Sus scrofa: one gene and its partner. Each later gene encodes a partner of the first gene's protein in a complex. Links are inferred from orthologs where the notes say so. Each region holds a gene or a part of one and is shown in the gene's direction. Other genes may lie near its edges.

The links. Proteins that work in one complex are often made in the same cells at the same time.
Region 2: the proteins of GIPC1 (region 1) and PLXND1 are in contact, whole or in part, in a crystal structure (PDB 5V6T), measured with the Mus musculus proteins. The link is inferred for Sus scrofa from reciprocal best matches to the Homo sapiens genes GIPC1 and PLXND1. Residues at the interface, in NP_061241.1 of Mus musculus: His61, Glu141, Ala142, Leu143, Gly144, Leu145, Thr146, Ile147, Thr148, Asp149, Asn150, Gly151, Phe156, Lys158, Arg159, Arg190, His191, Tyr192, Glu193, Ala195, Arg196, Leu198, Lys199; in NP_080652.2 of Mus musculus: Glu1400, Met1889, Glu1893, Arg1899, Gln1902, Gln1904, His1905, Glu1908, Ile1918, Tyr1919, Cys1921, Tyr1922, Ser1923, Glu1924, Ala1925.

The regions. Positions count from the first base shown.
Region 1 is NC_010444.4:64,779,244-64,783,359, forward strand, and holds the start of GIPC1 (PDZ domain-containing protein GIPC1), read left to right. Parts: upstream 1-1,203; 5' UTR 1,204-1,314; intron 1,315-2,355; exon of another isoform or gene 2,356-2,451; intron 2,452-4,116. UniProt on the Homo sapiens protein: May be involved in G protein-linked signaling.
Region 2 is NC_010455.5:68,954,981-68,958,626, reverse strand, and holds part of PLXND1 (plexin-D1), read left to right. Parts: intron 1-606; coding exon 607-714; intron 715-794; coding exon 795-907; intron 908-1,658; coding exon 1,659-1,763; intron 1,764-2,232; coding exon 2,233-2,363; intron 2,364-2,734; coding exon 2,735-2,933; intron 2,934-3,646. UniProt on the Homo sapiens protein: Cell surface receptor for SEMA4A and for class 3 semaphorins, such as SEMA3A, SEMA3C and SEMA3E. Plays an important role in cell-cell signaling, and in regulating the migration of a wide spectrum of cell types.

The DNA.
Region 1 (4,116 bases):
CCTCACCCACTGAGCCTCCTAGCTTCTTGAGCTATAAAATCAAGTATGTTGTGGTCTCTGCACGTGGGTGGAAAAGTAATTTTCTAAATTTAAAGCAAGGTGTAGAAAAGACAAGTATATTGAAGCAAGAGACACTGTTAACACATCAGGTCGACTTCCTGATATTCAGGGAGAGCAGACCCTGGGGGCATGGTTGTGTCTGTTTTTATAGCCCAAAGACAAAGAAGCGGTCTTGCCATACACCTGAGGACCTAGTGATTGGTTGGAGAAGAATGAGGTCTTCTGATACACTTGCTGGTTGGTTGGGGAAAGACAGGGTCTTTGGATACACCTGCTGGTAGTTTGGGGCCATATGTTGCCCCTAAAGGGGTGGGGTAAGGAGTGGGCTACATACCTTTTCTAGTGGGGGGCAGGAAGGAGTAGGCCAGGTTGATCAAGGGGAAGAGGTGAGGAGTGGGCCACATACCTTTCCTAGTAGGGAGCAAGAAGTAGGCCAAGTTGCTGGGGTGGGGAGGTCCTTACGAACATTGTAACAGTTACAGTGAGACAGGTGGGATGATAAGGGTTTGGTAATTCTTATCTTGGCTGGAGGCTTTTTGAATTTTATTTCCTTGGAGAAACTTTGAAGTCCCACAAAGTAGGAAGGAGATGCCCCGTGTTGCTCTGTGCCCCTGCCCTCACCCCTCCCTGGGCACTTCTTCATCAACAGGTAGAATCATGTGGATTCCGCTCAGGACTCTGCTGTGCCCACAGCCCACATACTGTCCTCTCCAGGTGTTTAGGAAGCAGCTTAGATGCCAGGCATAAGCAGGGCAGTGGACACAGTCCCAGAGAGGGCACAGGCCTAGCCAGAGGCAACTGATCGCTCAGTGGGCGTGGCAGAGGTCAGCAGAACAGGAAGAGAAGGACATTAGCTGTCCCTGTTGCCTCTGCAGTCTCGGTATTTGCCAGCTGGGTGGGGCTGCCTGGGCAGACCTCAGCAGCTAAGTCCAGGGCTCAAGCTCCCTTTTTACTTTGTCCTTCTGCAGGCCCTAGCAGGGCTGGAACGCTCAGCATCTCATCCAGGGAACTGCAAAGAGCCAATCGTTCAATGAGGGTTGAGAAGTTAGGTCTCCAAGAACTACAATTCCCAGAACACACAGTGAACTACGGTCCAGCCCCAGCTGCCTGAGTGGCTGGCTTGTTCCTGGAACAAGGGAATCTCACCTGTCCTGGGAACTGAGCTTCCTGGCCTGGGCAAGTTGTGTTGGTATCTTTGTTTCTTGGACCTGCTCCTGCCTGAGAAATCCTGGTTACAAGCCAAACCTGGAGATGGTGAGATTACCCAGTTCTTTTACCTACACATATGTACGGAGACCCTGCTCTGTGCCAGTCTGGGGCTGGAGGTGGGGGTAGGGAGGCGGAGAACAGTCAGATGTAAGAAACTGAGGACAGAGGCTTGGGTTGGCTGGGTATCCCTTTGTAATCCAGCACATAGTATGTGCTCAATAAATATTCGCTGGTCAACCAACGAGCGAACAGGGCATCTTGCCCTTTCACCCTGCTTTGCTAGCTCCTACAGTACTGTACTCTCCTAAAGCGTGCTGTATCTTTCTGTCCGCCCTCTAAGTCTTTGCACGCGCTGTTCCTTCTACCAGGAGCACATTCTTTCAGCTTACTCATCAGTGTGTCTGTAGAGATAGGACAGAGACTGGCACGGACCAGGGGCACATTAAATATTTGATAAGTGGATGAATGAATGAATGCCCTTGTCCATTGTCCATCCAAGATGCAGGGACACTCGGGACCCTCCCTATTCATCTCAGTCTCCCGCCTGCCCGCTCGGAATGAATGCGTGTTTTTATCCACCCCGAGGATGGCCACGCAGGGGCAGGGGCAGGCCGGGCGGAGGACTGGATCTGAAGCTGCCCTTGGCTCCCTCCCGGATTTCCTAGCGGGTCCGTTTTCTGGACTTCGGCAGTTTTCATCCTCTCTGCGAAACTCAGTCTCGGTCTCCTGACTCCCAAGACTAGCCCCCAGCTTCTTACCAGCCACAGCACCCCACCCGGACACTCAGCGAACAGCACGTGGTCCAGGAGTCCCAGCTTTCCATTGGCCACTGGCCTCCTTCCTTCTCTGAGATTGGCCGGGGCCCAGCCGCAGCTCCCCCCTCCGCAGCCTTGCGGTGGTACAGCCCGCCGCGGCTTAGGAGGGGCGGGAAGATCCAATGCTCCGTGGCGCGGGGGAGGTGTCGTGAAGAGCCGGGCGAGGCTCAGGGATCCCTCTGGAATGTTTCCTTCGGTTCCACCCGGAGCGGGGGGCGTGGAGCCGATTGGCCGCGAACGCCGAGCGGCCGCTCCTGATTGGCCGGACGCGGGCACAGGCCCCGCCCCCTGGCTGTGCTGCTGGAGAGGCCCGGGCCAGAGTTTGCCGAGGGCCAAGCAGGGCGCGCGCTGGGAGGCGGCAATGCAGGTGAGTGTCCCCTGCGGGCGGTGCGCATCGCGGCGGCTCGAGGGACCCTAGCGCGGATCCGTGGGATCGCAGATCCACGGGGATCTGGCAGGTCCTACGAGGTAGGGCCGGCCCTATGGAACGAGGCTGGAGGTCTAGACTAAGCCAGGGGGTGCCGGAGGCCCCTCCCCAGCGGGCCGCCTGCCTTCCTGCCGGAGGAAGGAGTAAATGCCTCCCGCCGCCGGGATGGGCTCTCCAGCCGCATCCCACCTCCCTGCACTCTGGACAGTTCCCGTCCCAGAGGGGACAGGAGCGGGATCGGTATTTCTGAGCCCTGCCTGGGCAACTCTCCACAGCTGGCCTTTCTCAATCTTCCTGGGCCTAAGGAGGCTTGGGGAGGACCGAGGTCCCGATAAAAATAATGAAAATAAATAACCCGGCTAGCATTTATTGAGCACTTCCGTGTCAGCTATTTACCATGCCATATTTACCATTGAATCTAAACACCTCATGGAAGGTGCTGTTGCTTCTTTCGGAGCTGAAGCGGTAGACCCAGAGAGCTAGAGTGACTTGCCCAAGATCACACAGCTAGTGAGTGGCAAATCTGGGACTCAAACCCATGCCTTAGAGTCCAGAACAGGAGTCTCAACCACTAGACTAGATGCCCAGTGGTTCCAAGGCTCAGGTGTTTCTGACCAGCTCCTCCCACTCTACCCCCTCCAACCAGACATGCCATCTGGGCCACACCCGCTGGTCTTTGCTTTCACCAGCTGCTCAAACAGGAAGCTGCCCTCATGTCCCTTCTCCCCTAAACTGGAAAAGGCAAGGACAAAATATCAGGGTCTTGAGAAGAAAGTGACATCTGAAGGAGAGGTAGATGGGGGTGGGGGAGGCAGCACGGTGGGGTCCTGTGCCTGCTAGGCCCTCCTGGGAAGCCTGGGCCCAGGACAGTAGGCGTTCTCCCCGGAAACACCCAGGAGCCGGTTTTTCAAGACTGAATCAGAGGCCTCCCGGCTTCCTCTCCCAAGCAATACCCTGCTGAAAAGGGGAGCCTGGGTGTGGTGTTTCCCCACCACCCCCTACAGCTTGTATGAGCTCCCAGGAACCCCCTTCCCCACTTCCTGCTCCCCTCACTGCAACTCTGTATAACTATGGCTTGTTGAGTTTCATGCCCTTCCCAGAGAAAAGAGGGTGGGGATGCTGGGATTCCAGCGAATGTGCTCAATGCCCTGGGCTTAAACTCCTTTTCCTCTGTCCCTGTGTTAAGGTTTGAGGGGAGACTAGGAACATGGTGAGGAGGTGGCAGCTAGCAACTCTACAGTGGGCATGTTCTGGGGATAGAGGGGCTCCAGAGAAATCAGAATGAAGGGTTTAAGACACATTCATTCATTCTACACATATTTATTGAGCACCTACTATGTGCCAAGTACTGTTCCTGGCACAGAGGATATAATAGTGAACAAGACAAAAATCCATGCTTATGGGGAGTTGCCATTCGAAAGGGGGGAAAACAGGCAACAAACAGTTTAACAAGAAGATACTTGCAGAGGGTAATAAGTGCTTTGAATAAAATACAAGGGAGTGGCATGGTAGAATCTGTAGGCAAAGGGGGGGCTCTTGGAGGAGGCAACTTTTGAGCTGACGTCTGGATGACAAAAAGAAGCCAGCCTTGTAAAGATCAGGTGT
Region 2 (3,646 bases), on another chromosome or scaffold:
TAGGCAGCTATGCTGCTCTTAAAGTAATGGTTATAAAAGTAATGTATTCAGTGAAGAGAGGAACCTCAGCCTCCTGCACCGATGGTAGGAATTAAAAGAATTAAAGTGGTACAAGTGTGGTAGAAAACTCTCTGGGAAAACATACATTATATATATGTGTGTGTGTGTATATGTATGTATATATACATACACACACATACATCTATATTATATCCCAGAAAGGGATTAAAATACAGTACTGTTTTGTCATCTTTTAAAAAGTTCTTCATTCACAAGTGAGGCCTGGCCAGAGTAGAAAGAATTGAAAATCCTCAGAAGCAGAAAGAGAACAGAAAGCAGAAAGCAGCCGTGCTTCTGTCATCCTGGGAAATCTACTTTTTACCAGGGGCTTAAACACACACTCATTTTTTATTGTAAGAATAGGACATGGGAGCCTCCTATTCCTGGCCATTTCCCAAGCCCTTGGCCTGTAGCTTTCAGCCCACTCTGGGGTGGGGACAGCAGCAGGCAGGATCTTCCCTTCAGGTCAGGCCCCACACACGCTGGGCACCACCGCACACTCTCCCAAGGCCCCTCAGGGCCTGACCATCCCTCCGCTGCCCACAGCCCTGTTCGTCTTCTGCACCAAGAGCCGCCGTGCCGAGCGCTACTGGCAGAAGACGCTGCTGCAGATGGAAGAGATGGAGTCCCAGATCCGAGAGGAGATCCGGAAAGGTAGCAGGCAGGGACCACGTGGGACCTCGGGCCTCTGCTTCCTCTGCTGGTCTACTCACGGCCACCTGCCTGTCCTCCAGGCTTCGCTGAGCTGCAGACAGACATGACAGACCTGACCAAGGAGCTGAACCGCAGCCAGGGCATCCCCTTCCTGGAGTACAAGCACTTTGTAACCCGCACCTTCTTCCCCAAGGTCAGTTTGCGCCTGTGCCAGTTCCCTCTGGGGCTCCTCAACCCATCCCTGGGCCCCAAGAACCCAGAGGTCACTTTCATCCCCTGTGGGAGAATTTGGCAGGTGCATCATGGGCCACTGAGCAGTGCAAAACATACCCGCCCAGCCGCGGGCGCCTGCGCTGCGCTGCCTGGCCAGCAGGCCCGGTTTCTCCCCGCTTTCCTTCTCTGCTCCCTTGATGTTTAACTGTCCGTACACAAGCCCGCTTTCCCCCTGCAGAGCTGGGCCTGCCTCTTACTGAGCAGAGGAACAGAGGCCCCGGCTCACTGACACCCTCTAACCTCTGGGCCCCTGGGGCTCCGCCTCCCCTCCTGTGTTCTGGACTCTGCCCCATCCCTGCCCTGCCCCCACCTTCCCTGGCCTGTTGAGGGTATTTGGGCCTGTAACCAGCACCTCCTCTGGCCCTGTCGACACCCTTCTGCACGCAGCAGCCAGAGAGCCCGTGTAGTGTCCCTGCAGCCCTTTCTGCCTCGGTTTCCCTCCTTCTACCCTGAGCTGCTTTGCTTCCTTTTGAGCCTCATATGCTCCAGCTTTGCCACATACTGCCTCGTGCTGATTCTGCTCCTCTTCCTCCCCTGGCATCCTGTGGCCCCTGAGCGTGGCCCACGGCCTCTCTTCTTTATAAACTGGGCTCTTGCATGTGTTAAGCAGCCCCTGGAGGAGTCATGGGAGCGTGCAGCCCTGCTGAGCTGCTGGGCATCTGCCTCCACAGTGCTCCTCCCTCTATGAAGAGCGTTATGTGCTGCCATCCCAGACCCTCAACTCCCAGGGCAGCTCCACGGTGCCGGAGACGCACCCACTGCTGGGAGAGTGGAAGGTGAGTACCCCAACCCCGCACGCACACATGGGGCTTCCCCAGTTTCCAGCTCATTGGATCCATTGGTCCTAATCCTGGGGAGTGGGGAGGAACCTGCTGTTGTGAGGTAGTGAGCTCTCCATCCCAGAAGGTATTCAAGTGGCCATTCAGGGTACCTGAGTGCTGACCTCTAGGCCAGGTCGTGGGGGGTGGGATTGAGTCCCCTTAGATGTCCCCCTCCATCTGCTGCTTCGAGAATGGAAGGTGAGAGGGTCCCCCACACAGGGACACTGGGCTGCCTTCTGCACCCTTACCCCTGCTGAGCCCCACTTTTGAAGTCAACTGAGCCATCATTCCCAGTGACTTACCTGTGAAAGGTGATGAGTTCCCCATCCCAGGAGGCCTTCACAGAGCCATTCTGGGGATCATGAGTGCTGACAGCTAGGCCAGGCAGTGACACGGGACCCCTGTGGACCACGCACCCCTGCAGATCCCTGAGAGCTGCCGGCCCAACATGGAAGAGGGCATCAGCCTATTCTCCTCGCTGCTCAACAACAAGCACTTCCTCATCGTCTTTGTCCATGCGCTGGAGCAACAGAAGGACTTTGCAGTGCGGGACAGGTCAGCCTTCAGGCTTCGGGGAAGGGGCAGGGCCTGGCGGAGGGGGCAGGGCACCACTCCTAGGTCTGCCTGGGCGGTTTGCAAATCCCCATGTCCCCTGGGCAGCAGTCATGTCCCCAGCATCAGGCCCTGGGTCCTAGGACTCCAGATGTCCTGAGACGCCCCCCTGTGCTTCCCCTTCCTGATCCTGGGTGCCCAGGACAGGACTCGTGGTCACAGTGGTCATGGTGCGTGTTAGGAGAGGTAGCCCTTACTTCAGCCTCACTTACCTGTCTGTGTCCAGTGACAAGGTGGACCACCCCACCATGTGGTCCTCAGATCCCAGGGCCTCCCGGTGCGGCTGGTGCAGATGCCCCTGCATCTGCCCGCAGGTGCAGCCTGGCGTCCCTGCTGACCATCGCACTGCACGGTAAGCTCGAGTACTACACGGGCATCATGAAGGAGCTGCTGGTGGACCTCATCGATGCCTCTGCTGCCAAGAACCCCAAGCTCATGCTGCGGCGCACAGAGTCTGTGGTCGAGAAAATGCTGACCAACTGGATGTCCATCTGCATGTACAGCTGCCTGCGGGTAAGGCCACTGGGACAGGCACCCGTGTGTAGGGCAGCCATGTCACTGCCACCACCGGGCCCAGCTTCACCAATAGGTCTGACTTCATTTTACCCTCATGCCAACTCTGCCAGGGGTTGTGTGGATGAGGAAAGAGGCTCAGAGTGGGTAGGACAGGGCCATAGGAGCCCTTGCCCAGATGGGGAACCCAGGCTCAGAAGAGCCCTGGCTTCCTGCAGAGGTCAGAGCAAGCCTGGGACGGGAGCTTTGTTTCAGAAGATTGTTTTCTCAGTCCTCAGACCCTCCCTAGGTGCCTTTGGGCCCCTGCTCTGGGTTCAGGGGATAAATAAGACCTGGGTCTGGCCCTGGAGGGACTCCCAGTCTTCGAGGAGACAGGTGTGGAAGTAAATGAAAATACAGAGTAATAAATGCCATACGGCAGCGCTCAACGCTGCGGCTCCTGACCTGGCTGGAGGGTTCAAGGTGGCTTCCAGAGGTGAGACCTGAGGGCTCAGGAGGAAAAAGGCAGGTAAAGGTTGAGTGGGGAGGGTGTCCAGGCTTTGGTTATAGCAGGAGCAGAGGAAGGAGGAGGGAATGTTCTGGAAAGAAACTGAAGGAGTCCAGCAAGTCTTTCTGTGGAGAGAGGAGGCTGGTGGGGCCTGGGAGCCAGGGCCTTTCACCTTCTGCCAAAAGGATCCCATCAGGATTTTTCTGCAGAACAAGAGAGGCTCAGC